Linked DNA regions of Neurospora crassa OR74A. The protein of the gene in region 2 interacts with the protein of the main gene of each other region in a pairwise test. Links are inferred from orthologs where the notes say so. Each region holds a gene or a part of one and is shown on either strand. Other genes may lie near its edges.

Region 1 (6,042 bases), on a different chromosome or scaffold from region 2:
AGCTTGGTACCTACTTACAGGGTTTTCGAACAGGGGGAACAACAAAAAGTAAATGCCTGATAATTATACCGATTATAGAAGGTAATGAGGTGAAAATTGTAAATGATTGGTGATTCTAGTAGTTTTTGGCTAGAAAGAGAGGTTTGTGTGCGTGTGTGTGAATCCCTTCTATCAACTCGTTCTAACGTTAAAATCTAGCGATTTCGGCCAATCAAATCGCGCGAATAGACCTTTCTGACCGTGTTACCCCCCTGTAGAAGGATGTGGGGCGTGTCCTACGCTAACAAACAAACCAGCATTGATGTGTACAGCTTGGTGTGACAGTAACTTGAGTAGCCGAGTACTGTGTTGCATCGAATCCGAATGTCTTCCTCGTTTGAGAGAGAACGTTGCGCGTACCGTACTCGGCTGGGTCGCCTTAACGCGGACACACGTGTGAAGGTGGTACAAAGTATGTGAAAGCTCATGAAGCGGACGAAATGAACCTGGAGATGCGAAAGGGCAATCAGGGACTTCCCCGGACCGTGGAAATGAGCGAGGTGGGAGTACCCGCCAGAGGCCGCCAGAGTGAGGAGTCGAGGATGAAGACTTGAGTTTTTGTGATGGGAGAAGGGAGGAAAACCGCCGAGTACGGAGCTCCTTCTGGGAAGCAAAGAGGAGTTCAGTAATCTCCAACCGATCCACTTTTCCTTGACCTTACACCCGCCAACCGTTTCCCCAAGGAGCGGGGTGCACGGGCCATCTCAATCAACAGCGGGACTTGTCATTGGGGGACCTTGGACAGACAGCTTGGACACCATCTCGCGGCGGATATAAGTTGAAGAGCAAAAAGGTCCCATGGGGACAGTGTAGTACCGTAGGCACTGATTAATATGAGTGAGCTGACGGCGGAAAAGGCACGAAAATGGTGAGGTGCTTCAGGCAATGGGAGCAACGAGGAGAGAAACTGGAGGCTATTCGGAAAGTGGATGTTTTGCCCATCGGCTCCGTAACAAGCTGGACCAGCTGGGCCTTGGTGCCGTCCAATTGTGGCTTTTGATCGGACACTAGACGCAGATTTTCTCAAGATTGACAACCGTCGACAATCATTGCTTTGCCTGCAAACGGTCAACCGCCAAGAGAGTAAAAAGCAGCTATGAGGACGCCGGTCTTTTTGCATCCTGGTATTGATCTGCCAAGTGTTTGTAGAGAGTCAGTTGAGACATGAATGTCGTCACGGTCATGTCTGACTGTCTGTTCTCGGGGGCGGAGGCGGCGTAGGGGGCAAGGTGAAAGTTCATGATACATAAAACCCGGCGCATTGAGTTGCGAGACACGGCCGAGAACCACTCGGCGCCCCTTTACCTGCCTCAAGTCATCTTCCATGCCTGTCGCCTCGTGGCAGAGCTGAAGAAGAAAGCCCCCAAGGGAACGGACCCCAACTCAATATGTAGAGGTAGCCACAGCTAGGTACCTAGCTATGACCTGACAAGGCGAGACCCATGGTGGACACTCTTGCGTGACCCAAGAATTAGATTCGGGTATCGATCAGGAAATCAGTAATATCGCCGGGTCACAGACTGGCACGGTACGTTCGTTGTAGTCGTCCTCGTCCTCGTCGTCGTCGTCGTCGGGGTCACTGTCATGGTTCACGCTAAGGATTTAATGGGCAGTGGAGTGAGATCGGCAGTGTTCAGAGCGCAACGAAGGGGACTGGTGGTTTTTATAACCGGTGGAGCTGACTCCCGAAGATGTGGCTCCTGCACTCCTCTTCTAGCGGCTCCTTCCAGACATTGGCGCCTTTCCCCTCATCCAACGAGGAGACGAGTAGCTGTTGCCAGAATACCGTATAGGGTCTAGCGGGGCTTACGCCAGGCGGAGCTCGCTGCCCCCACTATGTCTTGGCGACACCTCGGAATTACATCCAATAACAAAAGGCCTGCCTTCCACTTTGGCCTCCAAGTATTTTCCCCAACAGCGCTGGGATTTATGTAGACACAAGGTCCTATAATAGTGTAGTGCTGTTTCATTCAGGTAATTAGCCCTGTGCTGGTGACACTCACTTGTTTAAGCAAGCGTGCGAAGTGCTAGCACAATTGCGGCTTAGCATACCTACCTCTAGTGTACCTAGGCTTTCGTCAGGAGGGCTGCACTCACTGCCCTGCCCTGAGAAGTGAAGCTGAGTGGAGGAGAGTGGTGGATCTGCCGTTCAACTGCCGCACCACCCAACAATGCTCCTCATTGGCTCCCTTGCCTCTTGGCCTCTTCAAGCCTTCCGCAGTTCCAAACCAAATGAGCCTTTCCAGCCAATCCAGCGTTTGTCGGCCGTCGCTTTGCTCACTGCAGTCACCAGTCGGTGCTACAGTACGGCTGCCTTCCATCATTACCTAGTATTTGCTTTTCCTCCTTCGTCGGTTTTCACTGCCTCATCTCCCGATTTTCGACTTTTCTTCCTTCCAGCATCCGGGCACCTCGCTGCTTCGTCTGTATCCACGCAGGGACTTCCACACTGTAAGTACCTTGCCTAGAGGTATGTACTGCAGTCTGCAGCGAACTTGAAACCCATCGATCCAAACCCGACAGCACAAGTGTCAAGGCATCCAATCCTTCCACTTTGACTGGCGTCAACTCGCTTAAAGCGGCCTGCCCTAGCAATTCACCATCGTATTGACAAAGGCGCTGGATCTGCGCATTTTAGACCGGGTAGTCGGTGACAATAACACGAACCCGGACCACTTTGCTTTACTGGCCGCCGGGCAACCTGGAACACTCGGGGATCCAGTGAGGGCATAGTGTCCAGTACAGTGACCCCAGCACCCCCCCGTTTTTTGTCGCGACCTGGGCATCCCGACCTGGGCATCCCGACCTGGGCCCCCCCATCCATCTCCTCCGTCCCGCAAAACTTAACAAAAGGTATACTGGCTGCCTGCCTGCCTGCCTGCCAATTCACCTCTACCTCACCTTTTGGCCTTACCTACCTCCCGTCCGTCAATTATTCCCGACACCACTACAACCAACCAACCAACAACCCATCTCGCCTTTCAATCCATTGCGGCGTCCGTCGATTTTCTTTGTCGCCGACCCTTTCGAAACCGTTTACCGACGGCGCGCGTGCACGCCAACCAACTGACTGTCGGAATCGGCGACTGCCAGCCAAAGAAAGACTGCCAACCAGCGAGAGAGAGAGGCGACGAACGGCTAACGATCCATCCAAACGATTCGGACTGCATCCACTCAAGACGTCACAACCAAATCCAACCACCCGTGGTCCCTGTTGTGTCGACTTACTTGGAGAGCCTCCCACCGAACACACAAGTCGCCAAAGTCAACCTTACAAAACTGCCCATCAATTGCGTCAGTCGACCAAATCATCTTGAACCCGTATTTTTCTCGTCGCCCATTTCCGGGGATTCCAGCTACAAGGAAGGCGATTGACGGACGACGACGACGAACAAGTCTGCCCCTGGTCGACAAAAGTAAAGGCCGAGGAAGGGTTATTCGAGCGACGAAGCTGAACTGCACATCACACCAAACATTCGCCAGGAAAAAAAGTCGTCTTCATGGTTTTCTAGAACAGACCCGTGAACAGACGAGCATCTTCTTATCCGCCAGGTCCAAGTTCCCGGCCATCATCGGCTGCCTCATCTAGCCACCGCAGTCGAAAGGGATTGATGATCAAGATGGGCGCATGCATGAGCAAGAACGACGAGGAGACGGAGCAGAAGAAGAGGAGCCAGAAGATCGATCGCGACCTAGAGGAGGACTCCAAGAAGCTACGGAAAGAATGCAAGATTCTACTTTTGGGTGCGTACCCCTGTTGTCCTTCGCTAAAAACGTTTTTGCTAACATGCGTGCGCGTACAGGCTCCGGCGAGAGCGGTAAATCGACCATTGTGAAGCAGATGAAGATCATACATCTCAAGGGCTATTCAGATGAGGAGCTCACAAATTACCGACCAACCGTCTACAAGAATCTGTTGGAATGCGCAAAGGCGGTTGTGAATGCTATGCACCAGTTTGATATCCAGCCAGCAGATCCGTCGCTACGGCCCTACGTCGAGTTCTTGCAGGACTACAACATGGAGGGGTGTCCACCAGGACAGTCGATAGACCCCAAAGTCGGCACAGCTATCCAGGCACTATGGAATGATCCAGCAAAGGAGCAACTCATGGAGAGGCAAACAGAGTTCTATCTTATGGACTCTGCAGAATAGTGCGTGTCCGGTTTTTTTTCTTTTTTTTTCTTTTTTTTTTTTTTTTCTTCTTCTCCATAGGAGCTCACGTTCGCTGACTTGCACAGTTTCTTCACCGAGGTCATGAGGATTGTGGCCGAAGACTACCGACCAAATGAAATGGATGTACTTCGCGCCAGAACAAAGACGACGGGTATCTACGAGACAAGATTCAAGATGGGGCAGCTCAGTATCCAGTAAGTGTGCCTGATAGACATCTGTTACCCTCGTGCCCCTCAGCTCACACAATGATCTAGCATGTTTGATGTGGGCGGGCAACGTAGTGAACGCAAGAAGTGGATTCACTGCTTCGAAAACGTCACATCCATCATCTTCTGTGTTGCCCTGAGCGAGTACGACCAAGTATTGCTCGAGGAGAGCAGTCAGGTATGTCCACCAACCACGTCACCCCCTGGTACAGAGATGGTGCTAACATGTAACAGAACCGCATGATGGAGAGTCTGCTGCTCTTCGATTCGGTCGTCAATTCACGGTGGTTTATGAGAACGAGTATCATCCTGTTTCTCAACAAGGTCGACATCTTCAAGCAGAAACTGGGGCGGTCACCTCTAGGGAACTATTTCCCGGATTATTCCGGTGGAAACGACGTCAACAAGGCCGCCAAGTATCTATTGTGGCGGTTTAACCAGGTTAACAGGGCTCACCTTAACCTATATCCTCAGTATGTCCGCTCCATCTGTCCTGTCTTGGTGTATGCACCATCATGCTAACATTGTCACAGCTTGACACAAGCCACCGATACCTCCAACATCCGTCTCGTGTTTGCTGCCGTCAAGGAAACCATTCTCAATAACGCCCTTAAAGACTCCGGTATTCTATGATGAAAGACCCTTTTTTTTCGCTCACGCATCTTCTTCCTCTTTCTCGCAACAGCGTTCGGAATATTACCAAGTCCTCCCTTCTTGCATGACTCGGCGTTTTAAAGGGGTGGTAGCTGTCCGGCTAGCCGGCTAGCAAAAGCACGGCGGTGACAGCAACGGAGGCGGCGGTTGTTGTTTCTTATCATATCTTAGGGTTCACGCGCGTTTGGAACGTTGCCAACCTGAGGTTTGCTTTTGCTTCCCATTGGTTTCTCTTTTCCATTAGCATGCATTCATCTGAGCGACAGGCAGCGCCATCAACCATACCCTACCAAACGGAACTTATTGTAATCTTGTTTACGCACCATTTTGTTTGTTTTGCGCCGACGCAGAACAGCATAGGAGCATCTTTTTTTTTTCTTCTTCACGGCGGCGACTGGATCGACTGAGCAGGTCCTTGCTTTCTCTTTTTTTTTTTGTACATTCCTTTTCAACCGCATTTACAAGAAAACGGAAGGTGGAGAAGAGACATTGTCCTCAAAAGGTGTCACTGTACTCTCATGGGGAGATGCATGGCAAAACAAGAAAGATGTCTGAGCTAGTAGAAAGCCAGGGAGTTGAAAAGGGAACATTGTTCGCCTCCCAGTGAGGTTTTGGATCCTGCATTGAAATGCGGTCCGAGGTATCCCCAGGCCCATCCAAGAGATGGGAAGGTGGGCGCAAAGAAGGAGAAGAAGCCATGATGTTCACGATTTCGTTAACTGTCTCTGGTAGTAGTGGGAGGCAGATAGAGAGAGAGAGAGAGTAGGAGACAAAACTACTGTTTGTTCGTCACAAAGAGACTCACGCAGGATACCTATCTGATGAAAGTAAAGGTCTCTTGGAACAAACAAGGGTGCTCTTTTTTTACCTTATTAATGAGATGATTATCAAGTGGAATAGAGATGCTGCATCTGAGACATACGAAAAGCGCTGGCAGTTTGCTAGCAGTAGTATCTTGGCACGTCGTCC
Region 2 (6,290 bases):
TGATCGTGCAACACCTTGGGCGTTTCTCCTCGTCTTGGGCACACATCAATGTTCTTCTCACAAAGCCCCCTTTTCCTTCACCAAACATTGTTGGTTTGTTCCGGGTTGCCATGTAAGTTGCTGGTTGGAAGGGATTTAGAAGGAAACCACGTCTGTTTGTAGAGGTTTCCATTTGTTTCAGGATAGAAACGTGCGAAGTCACAAATCAGATTCACTGTTCCGCGATTGCGGCACTACCAATTATGAAACTAGACGGAGCTACAACTCTTCAAACCATGCCCTGCGAACGTTAGCTGTCGCGAACTATCAGCCCCATGCAAACTTCAGGCGGTCCGACTTTGTTTCTTCCAAACTCGGTAGCTGTTCCGAGTCATTGCCAACTCGTTTTACGCCGAGTTGTATTTGAGGGCATACATTTGAGCTGCTCTTTATCCAAACGGCACCTAACTTGACATCCATGTAATCTCTCACAGCTTCATACTTACCCCTACCCCTCACAGCTGTCTTCCTCTAGAAGGAACAAAAAAAGCGAGGGACTAGCGGCCTACCCTGTGCTCAAGTAGACCCATTCCGACGAACGACGCGCTCTCTGTGGCGAGACCCAGGGAGGGAACCCATTCATCGGGTTTTATCCTCAGATCGAATCACGGCATGCCAGCTCAATCGAAAAGCTCCCCCTCTCTTTGTGGAGGGAAAATCAAGTTGTCCATGAACTAGGCGTAAAGCTCCAGATCGGCTCTATTTCTTGGCTTCATGTAAGCAACCTTCCAGTTCGTTGATGAGATGAATAACATGGAAACTCGACGAAAAATGGGATGGGGGCAGATTGTGGAATTGGAGATGCAGTCCCGCTAGGTATCTACCTATCTAACGACGAAAAGCCTACATACCCTAGCTACCTAGGTATGATATTGGAACTTTAGCGTGCTTTATCCCTCGCCGGGGCACGCTCTGTTGGTTACAGGTGTAGGTTAGGTGAGTGGAAAATAGTGTAGAGGTTAACGACACCCCGTCACTACACGTGTTCGGGTAGCTAGTAGCCCCGTATCTTGAACCGCGGGCTAATGTTAAGGCAAGGTCCCTTATTTTACGGGGTAGAGACACCGAGCGACGGCGGACGCTCGCACCTCCCACGTTAATGGGGTCCGGGGACCGACCCGACCATGAAGGTACCTCCCGTCTACACAAGGTACGTACCGTGCCTGGCGACCAATTCTCATATTCAGGCCCTCGACACATTGCATGGTTCCTTGCAGCTGTTGAGATGTTAGGTTGTGTTTACAGATGCAGTTCAGAAAACAGGCGCTTTCAGTCGTTCATACTGCGACATTCACAGATTTTACATAGTAGACTACTTGGGGGGTTCTGGGCGCCAAGTAAGACATCTCAAAACAGGAACATCGTGAGCTTCAAGTTCACAAAATACCTAGAGGTACCGACAGGGTTGCGGAGCCTGAGGGAGCGGGCATACCCCCACGCGGAGCGAATTGATGCTGGCTGGCCACCCCTGCAACTGAAGTTTGCCGTTCCGAATCGATGTACCCCTACCTCTACGTACGGCTCACCGATATGCGCACCATCCGTTCGGGTGCCCTGACATTGACACCAGACACCGACTTGACATGGATACCTACCTATAATTTCGGGGTGCTTTGGCGCACAGGAACCTCTCTGATGCAAACACTGTGGCCACGGATGGGAAGCCTAAAAAGCTTCTATGTTTTGTCACCGAGATAACTCGGGCGGTCCCGCTAGTGCACTGAGATGGCAGATGGGACTGTAGGTAATACAGGCCCGAACCGGCAGCAGGTTATGCCGTGCCTCATATGTCTGCTTCGGTCGCTGAAGTATGTAAATACGTCGGCTTCAGGTGATAACTCATCATAAAATACATGTTGGAAAAACGATTGGACGCTTCTTTGAAGAGGCCCTGGCAGTCAGGTTGCATGGACTCCAGCCGAGCACCAACTCGCAGTCCTGAAAGGCTTGGGGTCCTGGAACCCAACTTGAAGAAGTTGCAGTGGCCGACAACCAGAGGGACAGTGTAAACTATCCTGATGTTCACACTTGCTCGTCAGCCCCCGTTTCCTTCTCATGTCTGCAATGGGCAATATCACCGCCCGGGGACCTTTCGGACTCAGCCCGGCTTGTTTATCTTGGGCGGCTTACACACGGGCTCAGACTGTCACACGGCTGTAGCGACTCCCGCTCGGTCAAGAAATCCGAGTGCTCTGCTCTTTTTGAGGCCCTGTACAGATTTAGCTATGGGGCCAATCGCTGCCACAGTACACTATTGTCGGAGCCCCAAATGCCGACCACTAGGGTACCTAGAGGTAGTGATGAGGACTGGACACATAATTGTCGAGTTTCTGATGGTGGGCCATCTTTGGCGCACATCTCACCCACCACCCTGGTCCGCCGTCCGCCCACCCATGTTGGTACCCGGACGCCAGTGACCTACCGCCCTACCTCCACGCCCACTCACCTGCTGGTGAACATCGACATCTGATCCATTTCCCATTCGCTGCAAATACCTAACAAGAGACGATTAGAACCACTTTGCCGGCCCAGCAAAGAGGGCAAACGCGGACCTGGACTAGCCACCCACGAGATAGCAGCTGAACACCTCAACAACACACCAGCATAACGCCAGCAACGTCTTGGGTTGTCGGGATTCAACGTCCGCATTCTTCGTCACCACAAGACACGCCCGCCATCTTAGCATCGGACAAGGCCATGACCTGAAAACACTGGCCATCCCCATCCTCACGTGGAATGGCTGTGGTCTCCTGGTAGTTGGCATCTTTGTTCCGCTCGCCTCCCGCCGGTGACAATGACGAGAAATGACGGCGGCTCCCGCTACAGCTCCATCGACAGCGCACAATCCAGCATCACGGCGAAGCCATTTCCCTTGACGCCGACCAGCAGCCTGGGCAGCTCGATGACACGGCCGCTGTCCCCGTCGCTGCAAGCGGGCAGCAGTAGCAGCAATGGCGGCCACAATGTATCTCGGTCCGCCTCACAGGGTGCGCGCAGGCCTGCGCCGACGCGTTTGAAGACGGATGACGGCACCCAATTTGCGAGGTGAGTTGAAGCGAGCGACGCAGTCTGTTGTTTCCTGGGGGCTTCGTGGTTCTCGAGCGGTTCTGTGATACGGATACCTACCCAGTCTTGCTTGCACAGTCCTGTCCTGTCACCGCAACTATCCGGAAACCCCGTTCTTCTTTGCCGTCCCTTCTCTTACAAGTCAAGCCTGTTCTTGCCCTATTTTCCTGCAGTTCAAACTAACGGGTGCATGCGTCGGCCGCCCATCTACAGCAGGTCATCGAGAGATTTCGAGTCGTCGCAGTCCCAGTCGCAGCCGTCGCATACGCAGACGCGGTCGCACTCACTGTCACAGGCCACGCTTCAATCATGTTCGCAGCCGCAGTTGTCATTGAATTCCCAGCAGTCTCAATCCCCTTCTCAGTACCACTCGCAGCAGACGCCGACACAGCAACAACCACAGCAACAAGTATCGCCCACGGGGGGCTCGCGCCTGACCCAGTCGCCCACTACACCATCCAATGCGTCTATCCGCGAACACAGAATGAGCGAGCTGGGGGGATATCGTCGTGAAATGGCGGCCATGTTGGACACCACAGGCGGCGCATTGAGCCGAACGTCATCGCACAGTCAGCAGCAGCCGCAGCAGCCGCAGCAACAACAACAACAGCAGCAGCAGCAGCAGGGTCACGCTGCAGGATCAGTTTCGGGTACCTTCAGCAACCTCAGCCAGTACGCACCGTATCTGGGGGGAAACAACGGCGGCGGGATGTCCATGGGCAGCTTCCTCAATGACTCTACGGATAATCTGTCGGTAATATCGCAGCTATCGCCGGGCATCCGGCCGATGACGGCACGGCCTTCGCAGGCGTCGGCAGGCAGCATGGAGTTTCCGGATTCGGCGTACTACGACGATGAGCGGCGGCCGTCGATTGCTTCAATCACGACGACGGCGAGCAGCCAAGGGTCGCGGACTTCCAAGACCCGGGGCGGGCTACAGAAGCTCCAGCAGTTTTTTGGCGATCGGGACGATTGGCCTGGCCGAGATTCGTCGGAAATTAGCCTGCCCCAGCCGAGTCACTCGGGCCCCATGTCCACAGGGAAGGAACACCGATCACACTCTTACAGCCTACCAGGCAGCGGTCGCTCGCACCGGGACCGCAACTACTCCAATGCCACCGATCACCATCCCTCCACCTTTGGCTCCGTCTCGACTGTCGGCGGGCGAGATAGGGATGCCTCGCCCGTGCCCTCGAGGCCGCGAACCCCAGTGCCTGCGCCCGAAGTTGTGCCGTTTCTGTACCAAGAAGCCGACGTACGTATAGCCTCGCTCTCTCTTTCTCTCTTTCTCTATTTTTGTTTTCTTTTGTAATTTACTGTTTTCGATCTTCCCTTCCCCCTCTTCGCTCTCCCCCTCCCCCCCTCTTCCCTCCCCTCTCTCGTAAAGTGTTGTGGTGGTAGCTTGGTAAGAGATACAGGAGCAGTAGTATCACTAAAGGTACCCTACGCTACTTATACCTACTAGCTACTACCCTCGCTTCGACCCCATTTCCACACCTCGCCAAATCTTATCTCTGGCCTTCTCTTTCCTATCTCCACCCCGAGCTATCCCTTTTGGGAATCGCGAATTGGATGAGTAGCAGTGGGATCAACATTGGCAATGGCCGCCGGCCGTCTCATTCTTTGCTCCAAACGCAACCCTCGTTTGACGCTTCCTGCAACATGTCGGCGGTGAGATGATCCCTCCTGCCATCTTCCGTCTTCAAGTTCACAACAACCACATTAACAAGGAGCCCAAGGCAATGGCTGCGGAATCTTTTACACAACAATGACAACGACAGCCTGCCAGTGAGGTGTCGTTGTTGCCCTGCTCCAATCCCGAGAAACCCGCTCTTTGCTGCTATCCTCCAGTCTGGACTCCTCCTGCCTGCCGTGCCTACCAATCCGTATTATACAAATTGCACGAGTGATCTCTGTCGCCGTAACTGACCATTGCATGAAACACAGGACATCGCTCGCTATGGCGAAGCACCCGTTCGAACAAGTCTCACTGGCCCCGATCGCGATCGTTACATCGACAGCTCCCAGAACCCACCAAAGACCTCGTCTTCCGCCCGGTCAGGTCACTCCATCGTGCACCTACCGGGACATCATAAACACAACAAGAGTAACGAGGATCCAAGGGCTTTGAAGCCATCGCTTAGCAGGGAGGATTCGGCAGCCAGTTTCGCTAGGGATTTTCGCAACGGTTCCAGCTCTATGATGGGCACCCGATCTCGCGCACAGAGTCCAGCGCCCAGTTGGACAGGGACGTCGCGGGGACTCAAAGCCAACAGTATTTCCGACGGAACATCATCTCCAGCTCCATCGCACAAAAAGGGCATATTGGGTCGCTTCCGCCGGCACAACAAAGACAAGGAAGATGGCTCCAGCCTTCGGAGTGGCTCAAACCACACTCTTGTACACCGCCCGTCGAGACAAGACCTTACCCGCGCCGCCGAATCCACCTACCCAGCATCCGTCTACGTTTCGGACCCTAGCGAGCAGCGAGAGGTCCCTGTCCGCCCTGGCTATGTGCGCCAGACGACGGCGCCGGGGTTCACCACGAAACTCTTTACCTCTAAGAAATCGAGCTCGGCCAAACAGCCCCAAGATGACATGGACGAGGACATTGGGCCCACTGACATGCACATGGGAGGTGGAACCGTCTATCATCTCGATACGAACCTTAATGATATGGAGGGAATTTTGACCAAGCCTCAACCCATGACCCCCTTGGACAACAGCATATCAATGCGACGCGAATCAGAAAAGATGATTGTCCCGATCACGACAGATCCGGAGGGCGCATGGGCTGCCCCGGACAGTTGGGCAGTGCGCGACAACAAAAAGTCTCTCGCCCCTCAGGTAAATGAAGACTTGTGCTCACGTCAACCTAGCGAGGAAAAGGAGAAGAAAAGCAATTATTACATTCGTGTCTTTAGGTCAGATAGCACCTGGACTACGCTCACCCTGCCCTTGACTGCGACAGCTGAGGATGTTATCATGGGTGTGGCGAAAAAGACTTATCTCCCTCCGGGTGCTCAGGACAGCTACTCTCTCCTTATCAAGAAGCACGATTTGTTCAGGGTCTTGAATAGCGCCGAACAACCCTTGAGAATCCAAAAACGACTCTTTCAGCAGATAGGTTATCAAGAAAAGGATGGCATTGACGAAATCGGTCGCGAAGATAACAGTTACATTTG

What was found. The genes of interacting proteins can lie anywhere in the genome.
Region 1: the proteins of cr-1 (region 2) and gna-3 interact in binary tests that used the Saccharomyces cerevisiae proteins (3 or more experiments, as listed by UniProt). The link is inferred for Neurospora crassa OR74A from reciprocal best matches to the Saccharomyces cerevisiae genes CYR1 and GPA2.

Annotation. Positions count from the first base shown.
Region 1 is NC_026504.1:5,751,221-5,757,262, reverse strand, and holds gna-3 (G-protein alpha subunit), read left to right. Parts: upstream 1-2,533; 5' UTR 2,534-3,650; coding exon 3,651-3,783; intron 3,784-3,842; coding exon 3,843-4,191; intron 4,192-4,278; coding exon 4,279-4,407; intron 4,408-4,467; coding exon 4,468-4,597; intron 4,598-4,653; coding exon 4,654-4,892; intron 4,893-4,952; coding exon 4,953-5,052; 3' UTR 5,053-6,010; downstream 6,011-6,042. UniProt on the Saccharomyces cerevisiae protein: Alpha subunit of the heterotrimeric guanine nucleotide-binding protein (G protein) involved in glucose-induced cAMP signaling.
Region 2 is NC_026501.1:5,569,926-5,576,215, reverse strand, and holds the start of cr-1 (adenylate cyclase), read left to right. Parts: upstream 1-2,358; 5' UTR 2,359-2,833; coding exon 2,834-3,084; intron 3,085-3,318; coding exon 3,319-4,360; intron 4,361-4,726; exon of another isoform or gene 4,727-4,767; coding exon of another isoform or gene 4,768-4,776; intron 4,777-5,052; coding exon 5,053-6,290.